Linked DNA regions of Schizosaccharomyces pombe. The protein of the gene in region 1 purifies or fractionates together with the protein of each later gene. This does not show direct contact. Each region holds a gene or a part of one and is shown in the gene's direction. Other genes may lie near its edges.

What was found.
Region 2: the proteins of eti1 (region 1) and exo2 purify together in Schizosaccharomyces pombe (affinity purification with western blotting; one study listed by BioGRID). This does not show direct contact.

What each region holds. Positions count from the first base shown.
Region 1 is NC_003424.3:329,163-334,710, reverse strand, and holds eti1 (protein eti1), read left to right. Parts: upstream 1-1,902; 5' UTR 1,903-1,967; coding exon 1,968-4,901; downstream 4,902-5,548. Other genes in the region: cpn1 (caprin), read right to left, coding at 1-51; mrpl6 (mitochondrial 54S ribosomal protein uL6m), read left to right, coding at 375-1,016; nce101 (non-classical export protein 1), read right to left, coding at 1,270-1,420, 1,472-1,497; WD-repeat family protein wdr21, read left to right, coding at 5,227-5,548.
Region 2 is NC_003424.3:1,776,390-1,783,240, forward strand, and holds exo2 (exonuclease II Exo2), read left to right. Parts: upstream 1-2,100; 5' UTR 2,101-2,159; coding exon 2,160-2,174; exon of another isoform or gene 2,175-2,212; coding exon 2,213-2,280; exon of another isoform or gene 2,281-2,320; intron 2,321-2,330; coding exon 2,331-6,234; 3' UTR 6,235-6,351; downstream 6,352-6,851. Other genes in the region: fol2 (GTP cyclohydrolase), read left to right, coding at 111-219, 273-568, 680-982; gus1 (glutamate-tRNA ligase), read right to left, coding at 6,546-6,851. UniProt on the Schizosaccharomyces pombe protein: Multifunctional protein that exhibits several independent functions at different levels of the cellular processes. 5'-3' exonuclease component of the nonsense-mediated mRNA decay (NMD) which is a highly conserved mRNA degradation pathway, an RNA surveillance system whose role is to identify and rid cells of mRNA with premature termination codons and thus prevents accumulation of potentially harmful truncated proteins.

The sequences.
Region 1 (5,548 bases):
AGGGTTTTGGGTGATGTTTTCACTATTTTTATTGTTTCCCTGGCTTGGCATGGTTTTTTTCTTTTCTCGCTTTTATCCCACAGGTTGGTTCTTCGCAAGTTTGGTTGACGTGCCACATGGCTGCCACCCTACATGATGAACCTACTAAGTATCCACATCGTCAAACATTGACTTTAAAAATCCGCAAACACTTTTGGCAGTCTTAATCCCTAATAATAGGAACAATTTATTTTAAGCTATCTCACAAAAAAAAAAATCGAATAGAAAGAATACGTGTTTTTATTAGAATTTGATATTAGCGAATTTCGAAGTCAATTTTTCTAGCATCCTTTACTAATATATTTGAAAACTGAATTATTTTGATTTATAAAATTATGTTTTCTATTGATAGTTGCTTGAAAACAAGGCCCTTAACTTTTCGAATTGCTCGTCTTGGTATGAACTTCACGACATGTTCAGCTGCTAGATCATACGTTGGAAAAAAAGAAATCATTGTTCCAAAAAATATCCAGTTTGATTTGGAGGGGGAACAACTACAGATTACTGGACCTCATGGAACACTTAACATGAGATTTCCAAATTATCTCAATCTCTCGAAAACTAATGACATCCTAAAAGTAGGAATGGATGCCAATATAGAAAAGCAAGCTACTAAAAAGCAACGTGCAATGTGGGGCACTACTAGGGCTATCCTAGCTAATAATGTAAAGGGAGTAACTATGTACTGGCAATCTATTATCAAATTGGTTGGTATCGGGTATCGGACTTCTCTAAACGATGGAAATATTCATTTAAAAATAGGTTATGCAAACGACATTTTGGTCTCTATCCCTACTGATGTACAAGTTGAGAATCCAACGCCAACCAGCTTGGTACTTCGTGGAATTGATCGACAAAAAGTCACACAGTTTGCAGCAAAAATTCGATCGTTTAAAAAGCCCGAGCCGTATAAAGGGAAGGGGATTTATGTTGATGGGGAAAAACCGCAGTTAAAAGCTAAACGGAGCATATCATGAGTTCTTTGGATTTCATTATGCAGTACATTCTCATATTTCAATTTTCCATCTGGCATACACCTTGTGCAAATTCACTATACAAACTCATTTCTTACAAACACTTATTAAATCACATTGCAGTAAAAATTGTCACAGACTGTTAGTAGCGTATAAACGTACAAAAGGAAATGTTATTCAATGAATAAAAATATAAAATCATCATTCGCTCGACACCCTTTGCCTCCTAGAACAGTCCTTTACGGAATGTCTGACCTCAGTTTTTCATGGATTGTTGTGAAACTGCCTGTTTATTCCATTTACGCAATGCAAGTTCTCGTAAGCTTCTTCCTCGGGGACGATGCTCTTTTTCATACAAATAATAACCATAAGTACCGACGAAGATTCCAAACAAAGGATCCATCCATCTGTTTAAGTAACATGTTAATATAATGAACCGAGTCTTCTTACAATCTTACTTAGAAATTAAATAGGGTTGAGACATCTTCTTTTTGAAATGACTTCTTCTCTTTTACGTGGCTAGCTGATTACTTTTAATCAATAGTAGTAGTGAGACTGTAAGGTTGGAAATATGTAGTAGCCTAATGAAGTATATGGGCCGCATTGAGCAAATACCTAGATATATCCATCATACATCCTTTTTATCGTAGTAATAAACTGATATTAGAGTCATTTTGTCAAATTTAAAGCTCGCTTTTTATTAAAAATTTGAGAATGCTTTTATTTATGTTTCTGTTTCTTAAATAATTAATAGTTGCATTCTCACATTCTTTTGAGAAACTTAATAAAAATGTGAGTATTAAATTCTAAGATGAAGTTTGACGAATGTATTTCCCTAAATTGCTTCCTCCTTATTTTTAATATTAGCGAAAATTCGAACTTGCCCACTAACAAAAGCCCAGTACATGTAGAGTGCAAACAAAGCGCACTACATAAACAACCATCGTTGTTAATATGTCATTTTATAAAGAAAAATCAATTAATGAAACAAATCTCGGATCGTTCGTTGACGAAAGTAATGAACTTTTTTTTTCGGCATTATCGGAATCCTCAATGAACCATGGAACTCCTGATGATAGCATTCTACTTGACTTAGTAAGTCGTTCAGACAATAAAGATTTATATCAAGATTCTCTCGATGTTCGAGATAATTTTTCAAACTTATCTAGTGATGAAATTCCCCAAAGCAGTTCCTATGAACAAACTCGCAAGCCATTCTTTCATCATTTTAACCCGTTCGAGTTTTTAGAAGCCACAAGTCCATTGCAACAAAATGGCAAATCTAGAGATACGGAGAAGCCTCCTTCAATGAAAGAAAAGGATTTGTCTTCAAATAGCAGTTCGCAGCATGATAAAGCCTTTCATGAAAGGGTTGACCAGGGGAAAAATAAATCGTCAACCACTAAATATCAAGAATTTCGAACTGTCGCTGATTATCGAGAATTTTCTCCTGGACAATCAGTCAATTCATTGAAGCCAAATTCTGGTGATGAAGTTCCATCAACCAAATCCTCAACGTCTTCTGAAATGCATACTCAACTATTGAAGGATGAGCAAAAGAAAATTTTAACACCCGCACCTGATGTGCCTCATGATGTTTACTGTATTGAACCCTCTTTGGGTCGAGTTTTTTCTTTTCCGGCTTCATTCGTTGCATCTCCTTTGCTTTTAGAAGATTGCAATAAAATAGCATCTTGTGATCTTCCTTATAGTACATTTTATGCTAACTCACAAGTTATTGATAAATTTTCTGAATATTTTGCATACGTGGATCAGGATCCTTGCCATATTCGCGTACTGAACGCCAATACCGATCAATCGCTCATACTTTATACGCAATCTGATGTTAAAAATCTACATTTTGGCAAAAATAAGCATACAAAGCCCCATCTTTTGGTAATGGACGCTCTCTCTAATCTGTATGTTTGGAAAATTTTACAGAAGCGATCTGAAATTTCAGTTTCACTTTTGTTTACCATCCGTCGTGCCAATTATGGTATTTGTGATTGGATTCCTAATTCTTCAAATATGTTTTCTATGATTGTAAAGAATTCTTTATATATTGTGGATATATCAAATATTCGTTCCAATAATATTAGCCCTAAAGTTTATGCAAAAGATTTTAATGGATTACAAGCTGCCAAGGTTGATTTACCTGGGCCGATTAACTCATACACCATCTCTTCTGACCGTTCTGTTGTTGCAATATTAGTGAATTCTCAAATTTTTTTCTATTCATTTCCAGTTTCTAATTTATTTTCTACTAATCCTTCACACCGAGGTAACTGGGCGGCTATCGCGACAATGAGCCTTCAGCTTCCGAGTACAGCAAATTCTATTTCTTTTCTTTCATCTCCACCGAACAATAATGATATCATTGATAAAGTTATTTGTGTCTCCTATGCTAATAATACTATATTAGGTTTATTTGATTTTGGGTTATGTGCTTTTACTCAAGAAATTGAGTTTTCAAATGAAAAAGAGAAATCACCTATTCAGCAATTACTTACTTTCAATAATTCAAACATGATTGTTGCAAAAAGGAATCAGCTTTTGGATATCTTTATTTATTCACCTTCTGATTTATCCAATGTGGGTGTATTATCTAACACTGCAGCTTTGATCTCTGCTGTTTCCAAAGGCAAGCGTTTTGGAGATTCTGGTTATATTAATAAAGTAATATCGAATGAGGTGGTGGATCATAGCATTGTTTTTGTCACCTTAATTGGCTGTGATAGTTCCAAACTTGAACTAATTTTGGCACTAAGTTCTGGATATTTTCAGTTCTGCATAGAAAGCGATTCCAAATTTGACGAGGGCACTTCTTTGGAATATCCTAATTCTGACAAGCGAATTTTAGCTAGGGCATCATTAACTTCGGGATTAAAGTCTAATAACACGCTAAGGGCTTTGAGTCAAGATTTAAAAAATTGTGCAAAATCTAAGGATGATTCCACAACACAAAATCTTACAGAGTCTTTGGGATCAGTTTGTTATCCCTCCATGCCATTCTTCAATCAATACGTTCCTCAAAATCCTAATGAGGTTAGAGAAAATATCTCTTCAGTCATGAAAAGTAGAATCCACGCAAAATTTGAAAGCTTGCATAGTCGAGTGGAATTGGTTGTTAAGAACTCTTACATGAAATTGTTGGAGCAGACTATTTCAGAAGCTGCAACCGATGAAATTTCTGATCTTTTCAAATTGATACATTCAAAACCTTTTCTTCTTGAGGTAGGATTCCTAGAAACTGGATTTTTGGCAAACGACTTGGAAAACTTAACATCCACTTATAGAAGCAGTAATAGGCAGTTGTGCGATTTTTCAAACCGCATAGGAAACATTAACCAAAAGCTTGAAAAACTCTTAATGATTGAGCGATTAGAAACTAGCGATCAAAGTCCAACATCCTCTTCTAATTTTGAAGAATCTGAGTCATTTGCAGTATCGAAAAAAGTTTTGGAATTGGTTCGCATTTCTAAGAATAAAGAGGCGTTAATTTGCTTCACGAAGGATCCCTCTATTGAAGCATTCCGGTCATTACAAGATGTGCCTGATTATTCACTAGATGATTGTTCTTCAATTCATCTTTTAGCATTTATTCATGTTCTTTCCAAGTTAATCATAAAAGAGGAACAGCTATCATTTTCTCGTCTTCAACTATTATCGCGAGCTACTTCACGTCTTCGGACTATGACATTATCAGTATTTAACAACAGCGGCACATTAACTCCTGAGCTGTTCTCCTCCGTTGTGCGCATTGTTCTTAAAAACGTGAGGGAATTTGTGCTAATTGGTAACTCTAGTATACAGAAGTCGAAGCACGAATTTTTAATTACGACGCTCCAAGCACTGTTAAGAGAAGTCGATATTTTTCTCAATACATAGAAAATGGAGGAATCTCTGAAACTAGCTTATGAGCGACAATAAGCTTAGCTGCAAGCACTAGTAATTTTGTCTTTTACGGCATTTTTTCCTTATAGGGGGCATTTAAGCTATTAACTATAAGTTAACAAATAAGGAATTTTATCGTGTTACCTTATTATACCGTTTGCCGCACACTGGTGCTTTTTTTTATTAATTTATATAGTTGTGTTGTCTTTTGAATACCTAAGTATTTGGCTACATACAACAGAGAAATGGTATAACGACAACATTTTAACAAAACCTTTTTTGTTTTTAATTTCTTTTGCTTACCATCAATCCCTGGGTTATGAGCGGACTACCATTTCATATTCCCGGTTATTATTACAATTCTGAAAAAAAGCGTTACTTTCGAATAATTAGCTCGGGGCAGTCTACTCCGTCCTCTAATATTTATACTAAGGAGAGGTTGAAAAGGGGGAAGCGTTTTAATAATATCAGTAAAGAACGAACCAAAGGAAAAGGAGGCAATCCCGTTTTCAACTTTTCAACTTATCTTTTTGATAGACAGTTTTCACAATATCCTTATTCTTGTAATGATGACAGAGATTATTTATGTGCAAAAAACCTAAAAAAAATAAATCTTCGGCAGCTTCCAGTTGGGACTGAGC
Region 2 (6,851 bases), 1.4 Mb from region 1:
TTGCATGAACCAAGATGTGTGACAGTATTTTTGTCGGTTAGCGTAAAACATTTGCAGCGGTTTACTTATCCATTGCAATCTTAATTTCATTTATTAAAAATTTATTTCTCATGGAGCCTGGAAAAAAGGATTATATAGATTCTCCTTTGAGGATGCAACCAGCCTCACTTTCTGGCGCATCTACACCAACTATTGATTTAGACGGGCTTTCTTGGCCTTGTAAGTAATGAAAGCATATTTTATACTCATTTAAGTATTCTAATACCAATTAGGTCAAGGAACACAACGTAGAATAGATACTGCTGAGGAAGAAAAAGTAAAAAAAATTTCCAATGCTATTTCAACAATTTTGGAATGTTTGGGAGAAGATCCTGAGAGACAAGGCCTTTTGGGAACACCTGAGAGGTATGCCAAGGCAATGCTTTACTTTACCAAAGGATACGAGCAAAATTTGACCGAAGTGATCAATGAGGCAGTATTTCAAGAAGATCACGAAGAAATGGTCATTGTTAGAGATATTGATGTATTCAGTTTGTGCGAGCATCATTTGGTTCCTTTTATTGGAAAAGTAGGTTTCATTTAGAAGTGGATTTTATCCATTGCATTCACGTGATTGGGCTATGCAATTATGTTTAACCCTCTTTCACAAACTCAGCGTATTAAACTAACATTATTGTAGATTCATATTGGTTATATTCCTCGTAAGCGTGTATTGGGACTTTCAAAGCTCGCACGTATAGCCAATATGTTTTCGCGTCGCCTACAGGTGCAGGAGCGTCTTACCAAACAAGTTGCCCAAGCTATTCAAGCTGTCTTAAAACCTCAGGGAGTTGCAGTCGTTATGGAAGCTACTCATATGTGCATGGTTATGCGCGGTGTTGAAAAACCGGGTAGCAGTACTGTTACTAGTAGTCTTACTGGTATATTTCAGAGAAGCCATAAAACTAGGGAGGAGTTTTTTAGATTGATTGGAAAATTTTAATTTTGGTTTTATTTTGTTCGTTAATCGCTAGAGGTGATACCGTCCGTAAATTCCTATTACAACTAAATGGTATTATATTTTTATTTTTTTTTGCATTCCAGTTTTTGAGTTGTTAAAACAATCACTTTTTTAAATATATCAATCCTTGCATATGTTTATTTATGCATACGATTTAGCAACCAAAGATTTTAAAAGCAGTCGAAAGTTCTCTCTCTATTACTCTTTAAAAATATGAATGCCCTTCTTCAGTTGTTTTTCACGAATTTTTTTTTTTTTTTTTTTGATATCTTAGTATTATGAGAAGAAATTCGAACACATGGTCGTTTTTCATATGGCTTATTTTATTTTCTTGAAAATTGACCGGAGCTATTTCACTCCACCTTACTATTATTAGCCTCAACGTGCTAAGGAAGACGTTATCCTAATGGAAAACTACTATTTAAGTTTTCTTTTTGAACGTTGTTTCGAATCACTTTTTTGGTTACATGGTAAATTAGTCCATGTTATTATATACATATATGAAGTTTCAACAATTTTATTAATTATTTACTAAGTTTTGCTGTGTAAGACTTTCAATTTGCAAGAGCTCAATTAATAGTTTATCATCAAATATATTATGAATGAATAATCTTTGTACCGTAATCGATAAGTATTGCAAGCAACTTACAGTGATTGTATTGATATACCCTAGACACATTATTATAAAGGTAAATGTCTCGTTAATTATAAAATTTGCCAATGTTTTTTAATCATCTACTACTGCTGCAGTTTCAATTAGTCGAAACGTATTTCTTGATAAATGTGTTTGATTTGTTTTTCAAACAACTAAACTCCTTCCTTCGCCTCAATGTTTAAGAACTTGCTCTATTTTAGACTCAGCTAGTCTCAAAGACTAACTATTTTGCCATTTGTATTTTTGTTGAAAAAAATGATAATATGATAATATCTTTACTCACAATGATATCGTTAAAAAGGCTTCTGTTAGTATGATATTAAATCAAAGAGGATCTACACATTTTCAATATTTCATGTACTATATAACTAACTCCTTAAACTTCACTAACCTGGGGCCTATCGATACGTGCAAGCACCGCATATGTTGACATTTGTTCTCTACTAACAACAATACTTTCTAAATTTATTCCTATTTAACTGTTAATGAGAAAGTTCGTTCAGTATGGGAATTCCAAAGGTTGTTATCGATATTTTGTATAAGTTTTTAACAATTAGTTTTTTCGATGGATGAGCGAAAGGTATCCGCTGTGCAGTCAGCTGATTGAAAACGATCGCATTCCCGAGTATGTCAATTTAAATCATCGTTTGAAACGTATGGAGCTAATTGAAATAGATTTGATAATCTTTATCTAGATATGAATGGTATTCTTCATAACTGTACGCATAAGAATGATGATCATTCCTCACCACCACTTCCAGAAGAGGAAATGTATATAGCCATTTTTAATTATATTGAGCATTTATTTGAAAAAATTAAACCCAAAAAGCTTCTATATATGGCAGTAGATGGATGTGCCCCACGTGCGAAAATGAATCAACAGCGCAGTCGCCGATTCAGAACTGCTAAAGATGCCCACGATGCGCGTTTAAAAGCAGAACGTAATGGGGAGGATTTTCCCGAGGAGCAATTTGACAGTAACTGTATAACGCCAGGTACAACTTTTATGGAGAGGGTTTCACGACAGTTATACTATTTTATTCACAAAAAAGTTACGAACGATTCCCAGTGGCAGAACATTGAGGTTATTTTCTCTGGCCACGATTGCCCCGGTGAGGGTGAGCATAAAATTATGGAATATATTCGAACCCAAAAGGCTCAACCTAGCTATAATCCTAACACTCGCCATTGCCTTTATGGTTTGGATGCTGATTTAATTATGCTAGGTCTTTTATCTCATGATCCACATTTTTGTCTATTACGTGAGGAGGTTACTTTTGGTCCGGCAAGTAGAAACCGTTCTAAGGAATTGGCTCACCAAAAATTTTATTTATTGCATTTAAGTTTATTAAGAGAATATCTTGAATTTGAATTTCAAGAATGCCGATCTACATTCACTTTTAAGTATGATCTCGAAAAAATCCTTGACGACTTTATTCTTTTAGCTTTTTTTGTCGGAAATGACTTCCTTCCCCATTTGCCTGGGCTTCATATTAATGAGGGTGCGTTAGCTTTGATGTTTAGTATATACAAAAAAGTTATGCCTTCTGCTGGGGGATATATTAATGAAAAGGGAGTAATCAATATGGCTAGATTGGAACTTATACTCCTCGAACTTGAGAATTTTGAGAAAGAGATATTTAAAGCTGAAGTTTCTGAGACAAAAAACAATGGGAACTCTGACAAACCATCTTTTGACTTTCTCAAATATATTACTGAATCAACAAATGATATTAAAGCCATGACAGGGGAGCAGAAAAATTATTTCTTACAGATTAAAAAGTTTTTGTCTTCTCGTGAGCCGTTCATTGATTTTAGTGCAAACATTTCTTCTGTTGATCAGCGCTTTCTACGACGTTTATGTAATGATCTTCATCTGTCATTTTCCAAAATTATAAAGGTAGACGGCACTCATCTATTAAGGATTACATTTAGAGATCTTGAATTTAATGATGAAGACGAAGATGAAATTGAGCAGGACGAAATCGAACGTGTACTTCAAAAGTATGATAACATTCCTTTGCTTAACGAAGAACAAGCTTTAAAAGAAAAAAACGTCGAAAAAGATTTTATCCAATGGAAGGATGATTATTATCGAAGCAAGGTTGGTTTTAGTTATTATGATGAAGAAGCTTTAAAAGCAATGGCTGAACGTTATGTTGAAGGTTTACAATGGGTACTTTTCTATTATTACCGTGGATGTCAGTCTTGGGGTTGGTATTACAACTACCATTTTGCACCAAAGATTTCAGATGTTTTAAAGGGCCTTGATGTAAAGATTGATTTCAAAATGGGTACACCCTTCCGTCCTTTTGAGCAGCTCATGGCCGTTTTGCCTGCAAGAAGTCAGGCATTAGTACCCCCTTGTTTCCGCGATTTAATGGTTAACAGCGAATCTCCAATTATTGATTTTTATCCAGAAAATTTTGCTTTGGATCAAAATGGAAAAACAGCTAGTTGGGAAGCTGTGGTTATAATTCCTTTTATTGACGAAACCCGTCTTATAGACGCACTAGCATCCAAGGATAAATTTTTGACTGAAGAGGAACGAAAAAGAAATTCCTTCAATGCCCCAACGGTCTTCTCTTTAGCGGAGGATTATACATCGTTTTATCCTTCTTCATTACCTTCACTTTTTCCGGATTTGGTTACCCGCTGTATTCAAAAACCTTACTCTCTACCTTCGATGGAAGGTAAAGAATATTTGGTTGGTCTTTGCCCTGGCGTTTTCTTAGGTGCTTTTGGAATGGTGGGTTTTCCTTCCTTTCACACTTTGAAGCATAAAGCAGAATTAGTGTATCATGGTATCAATGTTTTTGGTAATGAAAGCAGGAATCCCTCCGTAATCGTCAATGTTGAAGACGTCAAATCTGCTTTAACGTCGGAACAAATTGCGATGCAATATGTCGGAAAACGAATTTTTGTAGACTGGCCTTATTTACGTGAAGCATATGTGGAGAGTGCTATGGACGAAAGTTACATGTATTTAGCTTCAAACAGTACCATTGAGAAAAGGGATTTGGCAGAAATTGAAAAAAGCCAATGGGGCCGTAAATGTTCCCATAAAATTAGAGAATATAGTAAACGATTTGGCGTTCTTTTTGGTGATATTTCCTTATTGCTTCAAGTACGTCCTATCAAAGGATTGGAGTATACCAGAGAAGGTGCTCTTGTTAAGATTTTTAACGAATCTGTCCTTGAGGATTATCCAGCCCAATTAGTGGTCGAAAAGATTGCTATAGATGATCCAAGATTTACCGAGAGAGAAGCTCCGCCAGTAGAGGTGGAATATCCTCCAGGAACGAAGGCTTTTCATCTCGGAGAGTATAATTATGGGCGACCTGCACAAATTACAGGATGCAAGGACAACAAGCTCATTATTTGGTTATCAACCGCCCCTGGGTTGGATGCCCAATGGGGTCGTGTTCTTGTTAACGATAGCAAGTCAAAAGAGAAATATTATCCTTCTTATATCGTTGCGAAGTTGCTTAACATACATCCGCTACTTTTAAGTAAAATAACATCTAGCTTCTTAATTAGCAATGGTACTAAAAGAGAAAATATTGGATTAAATTTAAAATTTGATGCCAGAAATCAAAAAGTGTTAGGATTTTCCCGGAAAAGCACTAAAGGTTGGGAATTCTCGAACAAAACCGTTGCCCTTGTTAAAGAGTACATAAATACGTTCCCTCAATTATTTAATATTTTAACAACACATGCTACCAAGGATAATTTAACGGTCAAGGATTGCTTCCCTAAAGATGATACCCAACAATTGGCTGCGGTCAAACATTGGATCAAAGAGAAAGGGATTAACTCTCTTACTAGAGTATCTTTAGATGAAGATGCTTTAGACTCGGACATTATAAAGCTAATTGAGGAAAAAGCAAGCACAATTGATTCTACCTATCAGGTTCCGAAGAAAGTTTTTGGCGTCCCTCGGTATGCCTTATTAAAACCTTCACAAACACGTGGAATTTTGCATAGTCAAGAATTTGCTTTAGGCGATCGTGTTGTTTATGTTCAGGACTCTGGTAAAGTTCCAATTGCAGCATACGGAACTGTCGTGGGTATTATGTTGCATCATTTGGATGTCGTCTTTGACTTGCCTTTTATGAGCGGAACTACTCTAGATGGAAGGTGTTCGCCATATCATGGTATGCAAGTTGAAGTTTCAATGGTTTTAAACGTTACAAATCCTCAGTTCGTTGTAAATACCCGTGCCGGAAAGAATAGAAAAACCAATGTTAGTGCAAATAATGTTTCTCAAGGTACTGACTCTCGTTTGGTAACGAAACCCACTTCAACTTTTCCATCACCTCCATCCCCTCCATCTTCTAGTGTTTGGAACAAAAGAGAGCATCATCCAAAGCCTTTTTCACTACATCAAGTCCCTCCCCCTGAATCATTAATCCATAAATCGAAGAGTAAGTTTAGCAAAGGTAACCACCACTCTACCAATGGTACACAATCTATCCGCGGTAGGGGTGGAAAACGTGGTAAACCCTTAAGGTCGAAAGAACTCAATCGCAAGCACGATCACATCGTTCAGCCGATGGGCAAACTTCAGATTAACTAGCCCAATTGTATTTTAGTGGTGTGATAATAAATTTTATTAGCATAGAATTCTTTAACTTTATAGAAGGTTTTAAGACAACATTATGATATGAATGAAATTTATGTGCAAATATTTTAGTAGACTTCTATACTTTAAATCTGTAGTAAGAGAAATTTCGGTTTGAACGGTTAAACTTATAAATATTTAGTATTCGGAGTTTAGTCTCAGATACAATCAACCAAACACGACTTTACAAATCATATGGAAGAAAAATATTATAAAAACAATAGAGGTAACAAAATTTATATTACGACTGGATAATATGCTCGATTCTAATTTTTAACGCCGTAACGATTTACAGTCTTACCGTCTGGAATGTTGAAGAGAACAGCCTGCGTACCATCAAATGGAACATCAACAATGTAATAACCTTTACGCTCAACTTGAATTATATCACCCTTCTTTAAATTCTTGATTCCAACGTCAGCAAAGACGGGAGAGTGGAATTCAGTTTGAGGAGTTAGGAAGTCCTTATAGTTTTCTCCTTCTTCAAGTTTGTCCTTGGTAATAAGATAGTCAAAATCAACAAGGTCGACAGGAGTTTTGTCCTCCGTATCAGCCAACCAAGTGACTTTCTT